Drosophila melanogaster: one gene and its partners. The protein of the gene in region 2 interacts with the protein of the main gene of each other region in a pairwise test. Each region holds a gene or a part of one and is shown on either strand. Other genes may lie near its edges. The genes, in order: Fum2, CG5111, Awh and CG31249.

The links.
Region 1: the proteins of CG5111 (region 2) and Fum2 interact in a two-hybrid assay, tested with the Drosophila melanogaster proteins (one large-scale study listed by BioGRID).
Region 3: the proteins of CG5111 (region 2) and Awh interact in a two-hybrid assay, tested with the Drosophila melanogaster proteins (one large-scale study listed by BioGRID).
Region 4: the proteins of CG5111 (region 2) and CG31249 interact in a two-hybrid assay, tested with the Drosophila melanogaster proteins (one large-scale study listed by BioGRID).

What each region holds. Positions count from the first base shown.
Region 1 is NC_004354.4:6,679,634-6,684,226, forward strand, and holds Fum2 (fumarase 2), read left to right. Parts: upstream 1-2,133; 5' UTR 2,134-2,202; coding exon 2,203-2,280; intron 2,281-2,336; coding exon 2,337-2,501; intron 2,502-2,585; coding exon 2,586-2,789; intron 2,790-2,872; coding exon 2,873-3,677; intron 3,678-3,737; coding exon 3,738-3,997; 3' UTR 3,998-4,063; downstream 4,064-4,593. Other genes in the region: Fum1 (fumarase 1), read left to right, coding at 193-324, 665-865, 935-1,739, 1,804-2,066.
Region 2 is NT_033777.3:25,504,396-25,508,798, reverse strand, and holds CG5111 (uncharacterized protein), read right to left. Parts: upstream 2,525-4,403; 5' UTR 2,436-2,524; coding exon 591-2,435; 3' UTR 520-590; downstream 1-519. Other genes in the region: CG5107 (uncharacterized protein), read right to left, coding at 2,881-3,459, 3,520-3,582.
Region 3 is NT_037436.4:3,844,440-3,849,343, reverse strand, and holds the start of Awh (arrowhead), read right to left. Parts: upstream 3,139-4,904; 5' UTR 2,603-3,138; coding exon 2,597-2,602; intron 1-2,596. UniProt on the Drosophila melanogaster protein: Probable transcription factor. Required for the establishment of a subset of imaginal tissues: the abdominal histoblasts and the salivary gland imaginal rings.
Region 4 is NT_033777.3:17,685,115-17,689,120, forward strand, and holds CG31249 (uncharacterized protein), read right to left. Parts: upstream 1,958-4,006; 5' UTR 1,852-1,957; coding exon 1,782-1,851; intron 1,724-1,781; coding exon 1,397-1,723; intron 1,248-1,396; coding exon 892-1,247; 3' UTR 575-891; downstream 1-574. Other genes in the region: CG31360 (uncharacterized protein), read left to right, coding at 59-236, 299-417.

The DNA of each region.
Region 1 (4,593 bases), on a different chromosome or scaffold from region 2:
GCACGCCTCAGTTAACATCGAGCAGCAGCCGTCGTCGAGTGGTCGTCCTCTGATTTGTTCACTCTGATTGCCATAGTCTCAATTTGGCTTCACTTACTTACTATCTGTCATATCTGCATCTGAAATGGTCTGCCCCTGTGTTTACTTACTGATAATTATAGCCATTCTTATCGGATTCATTCGCATCGACAGGCCTCCCAGGAGTTTCGCGTGGAGAGCGACACCTTTGGCGAACTGAAGGTGCCCGCGGATAAGTACTATGGCGCCCAAACGATGCGATCCCAGATCAATTTCCCCATCGGCGGAGCCACCGAACGGATGCCCGTAAGTAGTGCCCCCCACTGCCTCCATCTACGTATACATATAATTCTCACGTAAATCTTTCGAAAGTATTTAAAAGTCAGCATTGAAGGTTCAAAAAGCAGCAAGGTCTAGCTAATTACTAAGTAAAATATGGCTTAAATTAAGCTTCTATTACAGAAAGCAGAACAAATGGTGAATGCTAGTTCAATGAGTTTGTTCATTGTAATTCAGAGTCTATAGAAAGTTAAAGTCTAAAAAATGTATTAACTACATTAACATAACACACAAGTATGTTGCGTAAAGTAAAAAATAAGAAGAAAACACATTGAAAGCAACTAAAACTCTCGTTAATCCCCGCCAGAAACCCGTGGTCCAGGCCATGGGCATCCTGAAGAAGGCCGCCGCCGAGGTGAACAAGGAGTTCGGACTGGACAGCAAGGTTAGCGAGGCGATCTCGAAGGCGGCCGACGATGTGATCTCTGGCAAGCTATACGACGACCACTTCCCGCTGGTCATCTGGCAGACGGGCTCGGGCACGCAGAGCAACATGAATGTGAATGAGGTGGGCATGAGCGGTCATTTGTTTCATTTGCACTATTCTCAAATCTCCTCTAACTCTCTAACTCTCAAGGTGATCAGCAATCGTGCCATTGAGCTGCTGGGCGGCAAACTGGGCTCCAAGACGCCCGTGCATCCCAACGATCATGTGAACAAATCGCAGAGCTCCAACGATACCTTCCCCACCGCCATTCACATCTCGGTGGCGCTGGAGCTGAACAACAACCTTAAGCCGGCGATTAAGACGCTGCACGATGCGCTGCGTGCCAAGTCGGAGGAGTTCAAGGACATTATCAAGATCGGACGCACGCATACGATGGATGCGGTGCCATTGACGCTGGGCCAAGAGTTCAGCGGCTATGCCCAGCAATTGGCCTACGCCCAGGAGCGCATCGATGCCTGTCTGCCGCGCGTCTATGAGCTGGCTCTGGGCGGCACTGCTGTGGGTACGGGTCTGAACACACGCAAGGGATTCGCCGAGAAGTGCGCTGCAAAGATCGCCGAGCTGACCAGCCTGCCCTTCGTTACCGCGCCCAACAAGTTCGAGGCACTGGCTGCCCGCGATGCCATGGTGGAGGTGCATGGTGTGCTCAACACGATCGCCGTTAGCCTGATGAAGATTGCCAACGATATTCGTTTCCTTGGCTCCGGACCGCGTTGCGGTTTGGGTGAGCTCTCGCTACCGGAGAACGAGCCAGGTAGCTCCATCATGCCCGGCAAGGTGAATCCCACGCAATGCGAGTCGCTGACAATGCTCTCCGCCCAGGTGATGGGCAATCAGGTGGCGGTGACCATCGGTGGATCCAATGGGCACTTCGAGCTGAATGTATTCAAGCCCCTGATCGTGTCCAATGTGCTGCGCTCCATTCGGCTATTGTGTAAGCTACCTATTACCCACCCTTGGTGGAACGCCAAATCAATCGAATCTATTCCTTTTTGTAGCTGATGGCAGCAGGACCTTCACTGCCAACTGTGTGAATGGCATCCAGGCGAACCGCGAGAATATTGCCAAGATCATGAACGAGTCGCTCATGCTGGTGACCGCTCTGAATCCGCACATTGGTTACGACAAGGCTGCGAAAATTGCAAAGACGGCGCACAAGAATGGCACCACACTCAAGGAGGAGGCCATCAATTTGGGTTACCTGACGGAGCAGCAGTTCAACGACTGGGTGCGACCCGAACAGATGCTGGGACCCAAGTGAAGTGGAGCCAAGTAGGCCGACGACGAAATCCATCATTCAATCATCGCTGTCATCGGAATCGCAGTGTGATTTTCTAGATCAGATCGTTTTGTTGTATATGAATCGCTCGGAAACACAGAACCAATAATAATTGAAAATGCTGAAGCAAAACAATGGTCTGCATCTGGCTAGGCGCAATCTCTGGGTGGTTTGCAGTGGCCTCCGTGCCAAGGATGTAAGTACGCGACAATGGTCGCTGGCAACTCATGGCTACATGGGGCATCTTTGCAGTGCGACAGTGGCGGTAAGGGCGGCAAGGGCAAGGAGAATGGCAAGTTTCGTACGGAGAAGGACACCTTCGGGGAGCTAAAGGTGCCGGCGGACAAGCTGTACGGCGCACAGACGATGCGCTCCAAATTGAATTTTCCCATTGGCGACATAGGCGAACGTATGCCGGTAGGCAACCAACCAACCAACCAACATATTCTGGCATCTACCAAGTGCTTTGCCATAGCCAATTAATCCCCAAACTGCCCGCAGATGCCGGTGATCCAGGCCATGGGCATACTGAAGAAGGCATGTGCCGAGGTCAACAAGGATTACGGACTAGATGGCAAGGTGTCGGATGCCGTATCCTGCGCCTGCGACGATGTCATTTCCGGCAAGCTATACAAACAGGGTCACTTCCCATTGGTCATCTGGCAAACCGGTTCGGGCACCCAGACCAATATGAACACCAACGAGGTAAGATTGTTAGATAGGGCTAACGAGAGAAATGTGTATAGCTGGATGCTTCTCCTGCCCCATGCCATTGGCAAACCTACTAGGTGATCAGCAATGCGGCCATTAAGATGATGGGCGGCGAACTGGGCAGCAAGAAGCCGGTGCATCCCAACGATCATGTGAACAAGTCGCAGAGCTCCAACGACACCTTCCCCACGGCCATTCACATTTCGGTGGGCATGGAGCTGAACGAGCGGCTTGTTCCGGCGGTTACACACTTGAGGGATGCCCTCAAGTCCAAGTCGGATGAGTTCAAGGACATCATCAAGATCGGACGCACCCACTTGATGGACGCAGTTCCGCTGACTTTGGGCCAGGAATTCAGCGGTTATACACAGCAGTTGACCAACGGTCTGGAAAGGATCAAGGGCTGTCTGCCGCGCGTCTATGAGCTGGCTCTGGGCGGCACTGCTGTGGGTACGGGTCTGAACACACGCAAGGGATTCGCCGAGAAGGTGGCCAAGCGCATTTCGGAGCTAACCTGCTTGCCCTTCGTGTCGGCGCCCAACAAGTTCGAGGCACTGGCTGCCCGCGATGCCATGGTGGAGGTGCATGGTGTGCTCAACACGATCGCCGTCAGCCTGATGAAGATCGCCAACGATATCCGATTGCTGGGATCGGGTCCGCGTTGCGGTCTGGGCGAACTAATGCTGCCGGAGAACGAGCCCGGTAGCTCCATCATGCCCGGCAAGGTGAATCCCACGCAATGCGAATCAATGACCATGCTGTGTGCCCAGGTGATGGGCAATCAGGTGGCGGTGACCATCGGCGGCTCCAACGGGCACTTCGAGCTAAATGTATTCAAACCCCTGGTCGTGTCCAATGTGCTGCGCTCCATTCGCTTGTTGGGTGAGTCGGAAATGTGTTTTCCAAGTGGAAAAACATGCATACATAACCTTCTCCTCCCAGCTGATGGCAGCATGACCTTCAGCAAGAACTGCGTGGAGGGACTGCAGGCCAACAAGGAGAGGATCGACAAGATCATGAACGAGTCCTTGATGCTGGTGACCGCGCTGAATCCGCACATTGGCTATGACAAGGCCGCCCTGATCGCCAAGACGGCGCACAAGAATAAGACGACCTTGAAGGAGGAGGCACTGAAGACCGGAATTACCGAAGAGCAGTTCAAGGAGTGGGTCAATCCCAAGGAGATGCTGGGACCGAAGTGATTCGCTGTGCGGCTATTGACGATTTTGTTTTAGTTTCGTGTAATAAATTTTTGTGTGTAGCAGGATATTTCAATAGATTGTATTAATTTGTTGATTTTACGGCAGGTGAATAACGGTTTTTAGTTTTTGAATTCTCCAAATGATTCGAGTCCACACTACGCGATAGTCATTATCGATTCTAAAGATATACCGTAAGTGTGGTCACACTAACGCCTTGCTGTTTCTAAATTATTCCGTTGTTTTTATCGTAAATTCTTGCACACTTAGCTATTATTTTATAGCGAAATATAAGCAAAGCAAGCTTTTAAACAAGTGTTTATTGCGGCGCACATTTTCCGTGACAAATGAAAAGATCCAGCTGACCAGCGATTATCTAACGACCAAATCGAATCGAAACGAAACGTTGAAGTAGGCGCATTACATTAAAAATTGGCTGCCAGGCAAGTTGGAGGTCGTAAATTAATCGTTTTGTTCAGTTGAAAATAGCCCAAAATCAGTCTAGCCCACACAGATATCGAAAAAGGCGATATATCTTTGGATAATCATTGCAAAAATAAACCCTTTCGATTCGACGATTTCGCCTTGTAGTTCTGCCA
Region 2 (4,403 bases):
AAAAAAAAACACGAAATGAAGAAAGAAATGGAAGAGTGAAATAAGCTGAGCGGAGTTTATTTTAGGTTTAACGATTTGGAAATAACGCCACAAAACAGGACGACAAATTATTTGGCCATCATCTGCAGAACTTTCGCATGGCATTGGCAGATTGGCGAGAGGGTCTGAAAACTTATTAATTTTCACAAAGTCAGCCACACGCAAAGAGCACGCGCACACACACACATACACAAAATTGTGAAAAACTGTGACGTTATGCACATGAGTGAGCAAATAGCAGCAGCCACATCAGCAACCAAAATGCATAGCATACTTTGCTGGGCAATAAGTATTTGAGTTTTTGAAGGGACGCACTATAAGCTGGATTTTTTTTATTTTTTTTTTATTTAATTGACTAGCTGTTATGTTATTAATTTTGGCCACAAAAAGGTACCATTCAGACTATAGTGGAATGGCTGTGAAATGAAATGGTAACATGGTGAGAAAAGATGTTAAAAATATAACAAAGCAACAATAAATATTTGTACGTACTTATTTATTGCCTGTTTTTTGATTTACAAATATTTAAAAAAAATCTTATTTTTTTCTTATTAGCCCTCGAGCAAACGTTTATACTCGATCAGAATTTGCTCCTCCTGATCCAAGGGCAAGTTTAAGTAGTGGTTGTTGTTCTCGGCGAGGTTCTCGTTGAATCTCTTGAAGGCATTGTAAGACTCAATCTCCGACTTGGCCTCGCTAAGGACAGTCTGGAGCAAGTTCACCTTGCTGTTGGATAAGTTTACGAGTGGGGTGGTGCTATTTGCAGTCGCATTAGTTGAGCTCGTAGGTTCTTGAACCTCCAAAACTTTTGTCATGGTTTCAATAACATGAAGTAATTCCGATTCGTTGGGGAAACTTTTCAATAGAAATTTCAGAGATTTATGGAAACTGTTGCCCGTAGTTTCCAAAGCATCTCGAGCGGAAATCTCCGAAAATCCAAGGTGCTGTAGAGTAGTAAGTAACGATTCATCGACAGGAGGAATGGGCGGCAGATTGGCCCTAAGTTCATCTGAATGACGCTGCAGTAGATCCAAACTGCGATCGAGATTATTTTTGGTCCTCTTCAGAGCCTCCACAACCAAACGCCTTTCGTAGCCCATTTCCATGAGCCTAATAATGCTGCGTGGATTGACCCATTCTCCTCCTTGACCGGCGAAAATCATCTCTTGGTTGACTTGCCTCTCGGCAGCCGAGTTCTTTCGCTCCTCACTGATTCTCTCGCTGCGTTCCTGGATATATTGAATGGCCCTATCCACTTGGCCCGCACAGGATCTCAAGGCCAACCTGGCATCCGATTCCTCATAGCCCATTTCAACGAGAGTGCTTAGCTCAGTGTCATTCATCTTGACCTCATACAAGTCCTTTGTCGCCACCTCCAGTTTTTCGTAGGCCTCATCCCGGCGATTTTGGTGAAAGAGGAGCACACCTTGGAGCAGGTGCAGTCTCATGATCAAAGCTCTTTCCGGGCTACTTGGACCCTTAATCGAGAACAATCGAATGAACTGCTCGCCATAGCTCTTGACAAAGCCCCTCTCGCAAATATCCAAACGTCGCTGTGCATCTGGCAGTTGGGTGATGTTCTTCAGGCGCAGATAGCACCAAACAATATCTAGATTGATTAAGGCATAGTTATCCACTCCTTCCAGGAGCTTTGAGTCACATTGGGAGAAGAGTTCATCGGCCTCGAGTAGGATGAGTAGAGCCTCATCGAAGTTCTCCTTATGCATGGCAACTCTGGCCACTTCGTACATGCTCATGGCCATCAATAGGGATCGATTTTCCTCGCGTGGCAAGAAAATTGGACGTCCATCCTGATCCTCCATTTCCATAAAGCGATCTGCATCCGCAACTAACTCCAAGTCCGCACGAATCCTTTGGATACGTTCGTGCAACTCCTGACCTTCATTAGTTCCACCCACAACCACCATGAGGTGCTGATTGGTTTTGAGCCCCTGCGAGGCCAGTGTCTTCTGCCCATTGATGATGCGTCCTCCGGAGATGCATTTCACATGACTGGAATCAACGATATCCAACTTCTTGGCCACCTCAGCTTGCAGATCCGAGCCCAGTCCACCCAGCGAACACTTGATCTCCAGCATTTGCACGGTGCCACCCTTGCTGTCCACACACCGCACATTGAACGTGGCCAATCCGGTGTCATTGAACTCTCGGCGAGCCGCCAGCTTCCGCAAGGCACCATCTTGCAATTCGCCCAAGGCAATTCTGCAGTCCGACACACTGATGCCCAGTTCGCCACTGATGTCCCTGGCCAGGCGGTCCATCTCCGACTCGATGCTGCCCACCTCCTCGAAGTAGTACGGCTCCTCCCACAACTTGATATCACGCTCCCGCAGACGAGCTCGCAGCTTAATGAATATATTGTTTATCTGGGACATGTTTCGTGCTGTCGTGCCCGAATCGAACTAAATAATTTCTAAATTTATGACGAACATTTTCAACTCTGACAGTGCTCTTTCAGTGTTACCTTAACATCTGTTTTTGCTAAATGCTAAAAAATGCTAAATTATTATAAATTCAGAGACGTAAGTTAAATCCCTTTAATTGCAATTTATAATTAATTACAATTAATTTTCCATATCAGTATAAAGCTGTTCAAGAACCCTCTCTAGATACCGATTGTATTTATTAACGAATCTTAATCGAATCGCTTCAGTTCGGCTCATAGTTGGAAATTGAAGTTATCTTATCATAATGAAACAAAATTTATTTTCAATCAAATCACTATATTATTGTTCATAGGTTGTTGGGAACAAAGGCTCGAGAATTGAAATCTAATCTGCTGTAAGCTTAAGAGTTTTTTATTTTTTAATAATAATATATTTACATAGACTCGATGCAGACATCAATGTTGGGCAGAAAAGAGTTAAAGGACGCTGTAACTTTATTGGTGGCATTTACGAAGCAGGAACTGGTATCGGCTGGCAATTTGGCAATCAGTTTTAGGGTTTTATTGATCTTTCGGGTCAGCCTCATGGATGCCTTGAACAATTTCCAGAAGCATTTGGCCGAGTTTTTGATGGACGAGCCCACGGACTTATCCGTGGCACAAAGTTTCGAATGCAGATGCAAAATATCGTCGCAGATTTTGATAATCTCCTTAACGGAGTCCACAATCTTGGCCACATCCTTGGGAATGGCAGTGCCACAGGCATCAATAGCATCCACATAGCTGGTGCATGAACTAAGGATGTTTGTCACCTCCTTGATAATACAGTTGGTGCCTCGAACCGTTTTCAATGCCTTGCGAAGGATTTTAAGGCATGTTCTAATAAAGCCCTGTGCCTCCACATCCATGTAGTCAGTGTCATTGTCCAGTTCATCCAGCAACTGCTCCAATTCCGATTCAAAGTCGAAATCATAGTCGAAGTTCTCGTTCTCCAGCAATTCTATTGCATTGGCCTGAAACAAAGAAATATTTATTATATTTAAGTTAATTTTTTTTTAATTGGCAAATCTTACCCGCGTGGTCAGCAGACAGGTGGCCGAAACCAGAACCAAAAGGCAAACGGTGATGGCTTTCATTTTACTGTCCAATTAATAATATTTTCTCGGCCAGTAGTGAAGATCAGTTTATATACCCGCTGAAAACTACGTCTTATCAGAAATTAATCGAATTGCCCACTCCAACTATCTAATACCTTTTTTTTATACGGCTATCATCTAGAAATGTGTAATCAATCTACCTACCTCAAAAGTACTTATATGTATCTATCTATCAGCACTTATCAGCCACTTAAGATACTTAAAATATACATTTTCGATCGGTTAATTTTCATATTGCTCAATTGAAGTGTTTTAAATGAATACAAATCTGAAATGATTAATTAATTTTCCCATTTAAATGCAAACGAAATGTACGCTCTAAAAATGTCGAATATTTTTCTTGTGGCAATTATCACACAATATCCGTTGATGTCAGTGCGAAATTCACTTGGGCACCCTTAAGAATCGAGGCTCAGAACGAATTAAAAGCCATAAACCGCAGACAAAGAGGAAAAGAACCACAATTGAATGGTGGCTGCCACCAGATTTTCCGGGCACAATAGACGGCAAAAGGAAAAAAATTTGTTGCCATTGTCAGCTTAACGCGCTCGGTTCACTTTGTTCGGGTTATAAATGGTAACGTGTGGTTAAGGGTTAATAACTCCCACTAGGGGTGTGTGGAAAATAAGACACTGCCACCAGGTCCAAGACATTTCCAACATACAAAAGAAAGTTTCCGGCTACCCGCGACAACAGCAAGTGTGGCTGCTAATGAAAAGTGTCGTAAAAGTCTGTAGTAATATCGTTTGTAAGGGTGTTCGGGTGGTCTGTCATTAGGTTAGCTGGGGTCTTTCCAATTT
Region 3 (4,904 bases), on a different chromosome or scaffold from region 2:
GTTTGCATTTAGGGGTTGGCTCGTAAATTCCAGGGGCGGGTTTGGGTCTCTATCTTCCTTGATTTCTTTTTTTTTTTTTTTTTTTGAGTTGCCGGCAGACAGGAGTGGCAATGATTTGTGGCATTTTACAATTTTACAGGCCCAAGGGCCATGCATCATTTGTAGGCCAACTAAGCGTCCTTTAAGGACTATTTTGTGGATGCACTCGAACGAACAATGGCAAGACACTCGACTCGCCTTCCATTGTGCGGTTTTGTGAGGACCTCTTGTGCCTCCTGCATTCGATGTTCATTCGAAGAGGACTTCTCGCATTTACCTGCTAAAAATGCTGCTGCGATTTTGACACATCTACCCAGCGATCTCTTCCTGCAATTCGCATGCGCAACCCGACTGAAAACTGACCAGGAACTCTGGCATCTATTGTCAATAGGTATGTACATACTACATATATGGATTCGAGGCCCAAAACAAAGGTGTGATATTTGTTTCTCTTTGTCCCTGATCGGGGCAATTGGCTCAAGTCAAGATGCATTTTCCGTTTGCCCATTGTTTTCCCAAGGAGACAAGAACCGAGGCGTAGACTTCTTGTCAGCGTTGACAATTAGGCATTTTCGACCAGTGGTCACAGGACACTCTTCAGAATGTCCTTTGTTTGGGAATCCAATTATTAGGGGGCTTGCTGAAAAATCTGCTGACCGCTGGCCAGGCAGCTGGTTTTGCAAAACATCCTTTTGGTAAGTAGGAAAATCTTGGCCATCGGCACGCGCTCCTTTTTTTGGTTTCTTGTGCGGGATTATGGGACAATGGAGTTAGGCGTGTAATCCTCAAAAGGTGTTTTGTCAAACACTCAAAGCTAATAAGTAGATGGAGATATAGAAAGTCAAATCCTAAAATCTCTGTAATCACTCTGTATTTTTAGTTCGCCTTCAAATACCCAATTGCCAATTAAAGAAAACTTTTTCGAACCGCAGATGGAGGCGTCAACGACTTCTTACACAAAACATTTTTGGTGTATCTATTTATGGGAGGTTTAGTTTTTTCCAATCTTTCAATTTTCTTGTGAATTATTAATGAAAAATCGATTATTGAAATATGTATATACGTTTTTTATAGCTGCTTCGCAGGCATTCGACATTTAAGCGCTTAAATATTTATGCCTTTTTTATATCTCTTTCTCCGACTGACTACCTAAGAGCAGGGAAAAAAAGACTCCATCTCCATACTTTGTTGAATATTCATAAGGCAGCGCCTAGTGGCGTCATTTTCGGATTTGGATTTGGATGATAAAGCGGGGCGGCGACATGTGGAAGGGGGGGGATCCACCAACATCTGGGCCGGGTCAAGATCGATGATGTCAAGAAAAGGTCTCTCGCCGAGAATCCCCCATGCCCCTTGACCATCGACGGCACCTCAGAACTGTTGACATTTGAGTTCTGGACTTCGAATTGTAAGCGGATCCCCCGCTGATCTGATTTTTCCCCCTATGACCGTGGTGCGTATAGAAATCTAGCTAAATAAAATCGGGCGATTAAAATTATATCGCAGAGCAATAAGCGTCAGCACCTTGTCCAATTTGCTATGGTAATGAAAATTATGCTCGTCGAACAAAGCCATGGTAAATCGATCATCGGCGAGCATAAATCATGATCGATTCTCTGCAGACTCATGGCAAATATTTTTCGAAAATCCTGTGGGTGGTTCACACACACAACAAAAAAAGCCCGTCGCACAGCGGGTGTAAAAATCGATTAAACGTTTTCGGACTGGGTATGAAATAAAATCAAAGTCAAAATCAAATTCGAAATTCAAAAACCAAAAAATATGTGTTGTTGAATGAACAAGGGATTGAGCAACATCATCTAGGCGACACGATCAATGCAATGTCTTGAAAAGATACAAAACAAAAAAAAAAAAAGGCCAAGTTGAATATGATTTTTGGGGTTTGGTTGCAGATACATCCGAATATCAGCCTTCATTTCACAGCCAATATTCGAGTAATACCCAAAAGTGTGGGCTGCGATCTGTGGCTTATTCGCTGAGTGTTTTCGATGGGAGGAACCCCACTGTGCGATTTGTGTGCTTTTCATATTCACCGCCCTGTGTCGTCTCCATATTTTTGAAAACTCATCGTTTTCCAGCCGCTATTAGTGTGCTGGCTTTTTCGAATTGAATTGAAACTGTTTTGCTCCGGTTTTTGTCTTAACTCCGGCTCACTTCTTTTTTTACTCCCAATGGTCGAGCAAACGCCGCCTGTTGCGTTTTCTGGCCCAATATGCTCGCAGCGGGCTAGGAAACTTTACATAAAAAACTGATTTGTGGGTCACTCGGGGTCTACTGGACTTTATGTCCAGCAATTAAAAAGGAAAGCAGAAACTTCATTTTGAGGGGGTGTGCAAACAGACCGCTCAAACGCCGAGCAATACGGGTGGAACATGCAACACTTACAGTCTAATTTAATAGAGAATATTAAAGACTAACTTTATTCAAAAATGTAGAAATTTATAATACACAGACTGATAACTTTCCTCTTTCCAATAGCAATAAAGTTGATTTTTTACAACTCAATCTATCTTTTTATAAAGCAATCGAGACTCACCTTCATTTTAATTGCCTCCACAATTTTGGCGGTTGTTAATCCAAGTATCTTGCTCGAAAATCTGTCGCCAGCTTTAGCCTGGGAATCGATATCGAGCCCGATCGCAGCCAGTATGAGGAGATATAGATGATAAAGACGACGACTTGATCAGTTTGTCAAGCGTCCCACGGAAGCCGCCGTCTGCATAGGATGCTTATATAATCGTATTCTTAAACCAGATCTATTAATAACCAGTGTAAATTCGCATATCCGAGATAGAAATCAATTTGCAGGCGCTTGCAACATTTTTTTTGTTTTTGATTAGCACATTCGATAACAGTTCACTTTCTTAGCCGACGGCGAATGTTGCGTTTCGATTTCAATAATATAATGTGCGACACCTTATGGCATGGAATACTCGTAGAACCTTATCACGATAACACGTTTCACTGCAGATACTCTGAGCGCTTCTCGCTTTTCTCGTGACGGAGCGGAGCGGATCGAGCGGATCGAGCGGACGCGAGATGTTGTTACAGCTTCGAGGCCACTGCGTTAACTGCCGGCGCTCGGGGTTCGAGCTCAGGGATCTGGTGGTGGTGCTCAACTGGCTCGGCTCACGCCCGGTTTCCATATGCTCATGGCATGCCCGCCACCACCACAGGTATGATGATGAACCAGCCGTACGCACAACCACAACCACCAGTCAGTCCCATTCGAAACTCGACTCGAGAACTCGCTCAACTGGTTTTTGAGCGCACATCTGTCGTCGGCGCAACGGGAATGGTGGTGATTGGCCCGCCTGGCCACGCCCCTTTGCGCCCCGCATAACGAGTTCCGCAGTGGTGTCCCCCATTTTGAGTGCTTTCCCAGTCCGCGCCGCCTGTGCACCAATTGAGTGCGCCGGCGCGTGCCAACTTGGCCACTTGAATCGAGTCGAAACTCGGAGTGAAATCGTGCCGCGAATTGGGTGGGTGTTGCTCTGGTGACGATGTTGCCATTTCTACTGATATGGCTGTTACTCGAAGGAATTTCTGTCATATTGCTGGTGCTTTCGATGTTGTTGCTGCTGTTTTTGAGACTCGTGTGGCTGCTGTTACTGTATCTTTTGTTCTTTATAAAGCAGTATCTGTTGTAGCAGCTTTTCCTAGAAAAGATTTCACTGTTGTGGTTACTTTTGCCTAGAAAAGCTACCAATGTTGCTCCTGTTGCAGTTGTAACAGTTGTCATGCTGCTGCGTTTACTGGAACAGATGTTGCTTCTAACTCTTTTGCTTTTACTCAGGATATTTCCACTTAAGATTCTCCTTGAATTGTTGTGCCTTTCAATAATATTGCTGTTGTTACTGCCACTTTTGCTTTTTCAAGTAAGTATATTGTTGTTACTATAATTTTCACCGTGACTTCAACTGATGTTACTGTCATTTCTGCTTTTCCTGCTGACTTTTTTGCTGCCTGAGTGAGTAAAAGTCCAGGAAAACCCGAATATCGAGGGAGGAAGTAAGGGAGAGGGAAAACGGAACTCGAGCTCCGCCGCACTTGACTTTTTGGGGTCAAACCGCTTGATGGAGGGGAAGTGAGTTGATGCCAGTGGATGCTGCTGTCTTTTCGGTTATATATTTTTTATTTCTGTTGGCTGTTTGTGATGGCATGCCAAACATGATAGCGCAGCAGACTGACTCAAAGAAAAAAAGGTTTAAAGTTAAAAACATTTTATTTTATTTAACATAAAATTAAATTGCATGGCTTTAACAATAATAATATAACAACAATAACAATATATTGCTTTTATATTAATACTTTTAAAGAAAGTACTATTATTAATGATTCCTTGGTGCTAAATAACTCTTCAAGTTACTCCAGTTTCCTTTGTCCCCTTTATACTTTGATTTAAGCCTGAGTTTAAGCTTTATGTGCAACACCGATCCCCTTGAGGATTTCCATTTCGAGCACTTTAACCATTACTTTGCACCATTTTTCATTCACTGTCTCTTTGATCGTGGGCTGTCTCTTAAAGCCGCTTGGCATTCAATTGGCATTTGGCTGTCGCCATCATCCAGTCGAGTGGCCCCCACCGCCTCCTCCTTCGCCAATCCTTCTGCCTGCCCCCGTTTTTTTTACCACTTTTTCTCCGCTTTTTGCTTTGCTCACGTTATTTAAGGATTAACATCATTTTATGGTGCCTCGCAATGCCTTTTTTGCAGGATTAAATGCTGCTGCCTGCTGGCTCTCGTTCTCCTGTCACTGCACTGGAAAAAAATTAATATATCTTTAAACTGTTCTATACTTAAATAAAAGCTTCAAGCTTAAAGTTAACCATTTATAGAAATATC
Region 4 (4,006 bases), 7.8 Mb from region 2:
TTGTCGCCTTATTTTCCAAATCCATTCCCAAATTGTTATTATTGAAATAATTTTAAAAATGATCGGTAGACTTTCTTTTTGGAACAAGGACAACGTTTCCAACGAGGTGGACTGCTTGGCCTGCCGTCTGGTCAGTGGCCTTGGACTCCTGGGAATTGGTGCCTTCCTATTGGCACAGTCGAAAAAAAGACAAGCGAAACCTCTGGAGAATTTCACTATGAAAGGCTTGGCTGCAGGTGAGCCACTTGGGATCTTAAATCCGGTCTTATGTTTACTCCTTTCTCCTTCGTCGCCATAGCCGTTGGAGTTCTGGGCGTGGCCCGCCTGGCAGACGCGAATTTCCTGAAGGCAACCGCCGAGAAGCCAAAAGAACAGGAAAATACTAGCACTGATCATCAGTTCTTTTCTAGACGTTAATTCAATGACGTTTTAATTATAATCGTAGAGTCACTTAATATATAAAGGTTAATGTTTTCTTTTGTACGACCATGTGGCATTACAATAATATAGCTGTAACCTTGTTTTTAGAATTTTTTCTATTTAAAATCGTTGAAAACAAAACCTTGTTTGCTTTAATGAATTTATGATTTATTTTAAATAAATTAATTACATAGGCATACACAATATTGCATCTTTTGAAAGAGGATCATAAATAAACATATGTTTGTATTAATAATAATATTATAAAATATCAACAGGATTCTTATTTTATAGCTTTCAAAAAAGGTGTTTGCTTGTTCATAGCTTGGCTGTTGATCTATCTATTGATTTCTGCTAAATGTTGTTGCTTGGCTTTAAAGGATATTTTATAGATGCAATTTTAAAACTTTTATGTTCTTTATGTCCTTTTATGTTATATTGTGTCGATTGCGTTCCTTTACTGTTAATCGTCTAGAATCCCACTTTCCCCAGCTTGGTATCAGTCTTTGGATTGGCCGTGATGTTCTGCACCGCCACAATGGTCTCATTGATGTGTGTCTGCAGCTCGCGTAGGCTCTGGATCTGGAGAAGACGTAGTATGCGCATGGGCAGGTCCAGGGCAGAGTCGTTGGACGAGACGACGTCGTTTCCCTTGTCAAAAGGGAAGGGTTTACCCACTACCGGCTTGCGATCCTTGGCGGCGGGCGAGAGGCGTTCGTGCACCACGCGAGCGATAGCCTCCAGCTGCAACAGATGGTTCGGGTGGTGCGGCACATTCAGTTTGCTGGCCAGCAGCCGGACTCCATCCACGAACGCTTTTTCCTGAGCTGGTGGGAAGAAAGAATTAATACTTGTTGTACTTTACCTGATTATCATCTATAGATAATAAAAGTGGTTTTTGGAACCTCTTAAAAAATCCATAATATATAAATTTAAAGTTCCTTAAATGGTAAATTTAGTTAAAATCAGACCATACTATTAATATTTCCATCGAAAATAGCCTGGACCCTTTGTTGGGACTGCTTGCCATTGCTTTGGGGTGGCACCTGTTTGGTGTTAATCGAGGCAAACTGATCAGGATCATCGAGGAAGTCCAGGCGCACAGCATAGCTGACAATCCAGGCCAGCTGCTCCTGCCGCGTCTCCAGGGGCGGCATGCTCAAATCGGCACAGTACTTTAAGTAACCCTCCTTCCAGATCTCAGGGTTGTCGACAGTGCGCAGCTTACAGCGATCCTCTATGGAGTAAAGCCGGATCTTCTGGTCCTCCAACCAGAGGACTGTGTTGGCGAATTCCTTGCGGTCTGCGGAACGAAAAGAATGGGATGACTTATAGCCCCATCAGGAAAACTAGACAATTACCGCTCATCACCACCGGGATGTCAACATCGGGACGACCCAGTACCTCGAGTTTCATCTTGAGCGACAGCATGCTTTCAACGGATTACTATACAAAAATCGATTCGCTCTGTTAATTTACAAAAAATGTTACAGCCGGCTGTGCTTATTCTTATCGCCCAAATTTAAGGGATGGAACATTAAACGAGAGGACTTATCGACGTAGAAATTGGGCTGCCAACTTGCTGTGATAAAGCTGTTCGAATTTAATAATCTCGAAAAAGTATCGATATATAATTTTTAAATCAAATATTTTGTAAGAAACTACTTACTGTCAAAAAGTATTTTTTCCGATAATTATTTTTTTGCACATCATATTATTCAATTAATTGAAGAACTATTAATACAATTTTAAAGCTCTTCATTGACCGATTAAAATTGTCAATTAATTAAAAAAGTCAAATTTATCCCGGAACACGCGAATTCTTAATATTAATGTAAGTTCTTTTAAAATTGATTTTTGAAATTGTAAATTTGAACAAATTGACATTGTAAATACAATGCACAAATTCCCAATCGAGTAACATCGACCTCAATGCTGAAAGTACAGCCTAATAACAGACAAAAGATCTTGTTACTAGACATTTTTGAAAACCTAGACATGGTATTTAGGTGCTCAATTGCATATTATCTCGAATATACATTTATATAATAATCTTTCGCTCAACAGTGAATGTCCTACGCTGAACAGAAGCAATATAGTTTATAATAATATAATAAGAAATATTTTGGGAATGCGTTACCATAGGATTCATCAATCTGACCAATTGATTTGCACTGAAAAAATCGAAATGAGTTCTAAAAAGTATTTCCCCGCCAAAAAATATTTTTCCCTTATCAGCGATAAGAAACGACAAGTACAAAGGCTGTATTGTATATCATATATGTATGTATATTAATTAAATAATTAAATTAAGTTTGAGGGACATACATTTACATCCTAGCAAATTATAGACTAATAACTACACGTTATATATCGAGATGCTGAGTTATAATATTTGTTTGCAAACAACTACACGAATACACGTATCAACAGCAGCAGTTTCCTATTATCTCCCAATATCTTGCAGTTCCTCTGGATCCAGAGGATCGCCACCGGAAACCGGAAGGACCTCTAGACTTGCTCATGCCAGAATCTGGAGACATTTCATTTTCGATCTCTTATGTAGCACGTTAATTATGTGTGAGAAAGTTTAGTATACAAATTGGTGCACCCACCCATGTATGGTTTTGCATTAATTGTTTATTGGTTTCCTAACGCCAAGCATTTTGGGTGTGGGTGTGGATGTGTGGTTATTAGTCCTTTTTGCGTGCTTCTCTACAGCTTTAGTTCGATTTGCTTCGCTTTGTGTTTTATAGCATTTTATGGTTTCGTTTTGTTTTGCTTTGTTTTCTTGGTTTTATTTGTTTTGCATTTTAAATTAAGATTAAGATAAAAACCTAATTATTTATCTTGTCATTTACGCCTTAAGTAAGTTCGATATAAAATAAAACGAAGCAGCAGCACTTCCAGCAAATAATACAGTTAACATAAGATTACAGCATTAGGGTTTCATTTTTTCGATTTTTCATGTTTCGTTTATATTAATTATGTATGTATATGTTATGTATTTTTATATATTATATCACCTAATTTGATTTCAATTTAAATTGTTTGCTTGCCTTCATCTGAGGGTTTTTCATTTTTGCTTGTTTGCTTGTTTCTCTCGCTTAATTTCATTTCCATTCGCCTCCGAGTTATGCGATTAAAACTAAGAAGTTGGAATTTTCGCAGCCCATCAATACATCATACAACATCATACACATAAACATAATACAAAATGCAGTGCTGCCACTTACATGTGCCTTGTAACATTGCGTAAAAACAAAAATACAGTGAAATTTACATAATAGTTAAGTATGTACAATGGTTTTTAGTCATCTCTAAGGATTCGTCCTTCTGCAACATTTAGACCACATTGAATCCAATAAACTGCCTTATATACGTGTTGCTTTTAAATATTTCCGCGTGAACTTTGGTGTTCGTTCAGTTCGATCAGTTTATGAGTTCCTATGCTGCACATTGTGGTAATATGTAGGTATTAGTAAGTGGTAGAATTTAAAAACTATCCTCTATGTATTTATATATCAATGTCTAGATGTACGTATGTATGCATTCATCCCTTTTACATACACAATTCATTCTCATG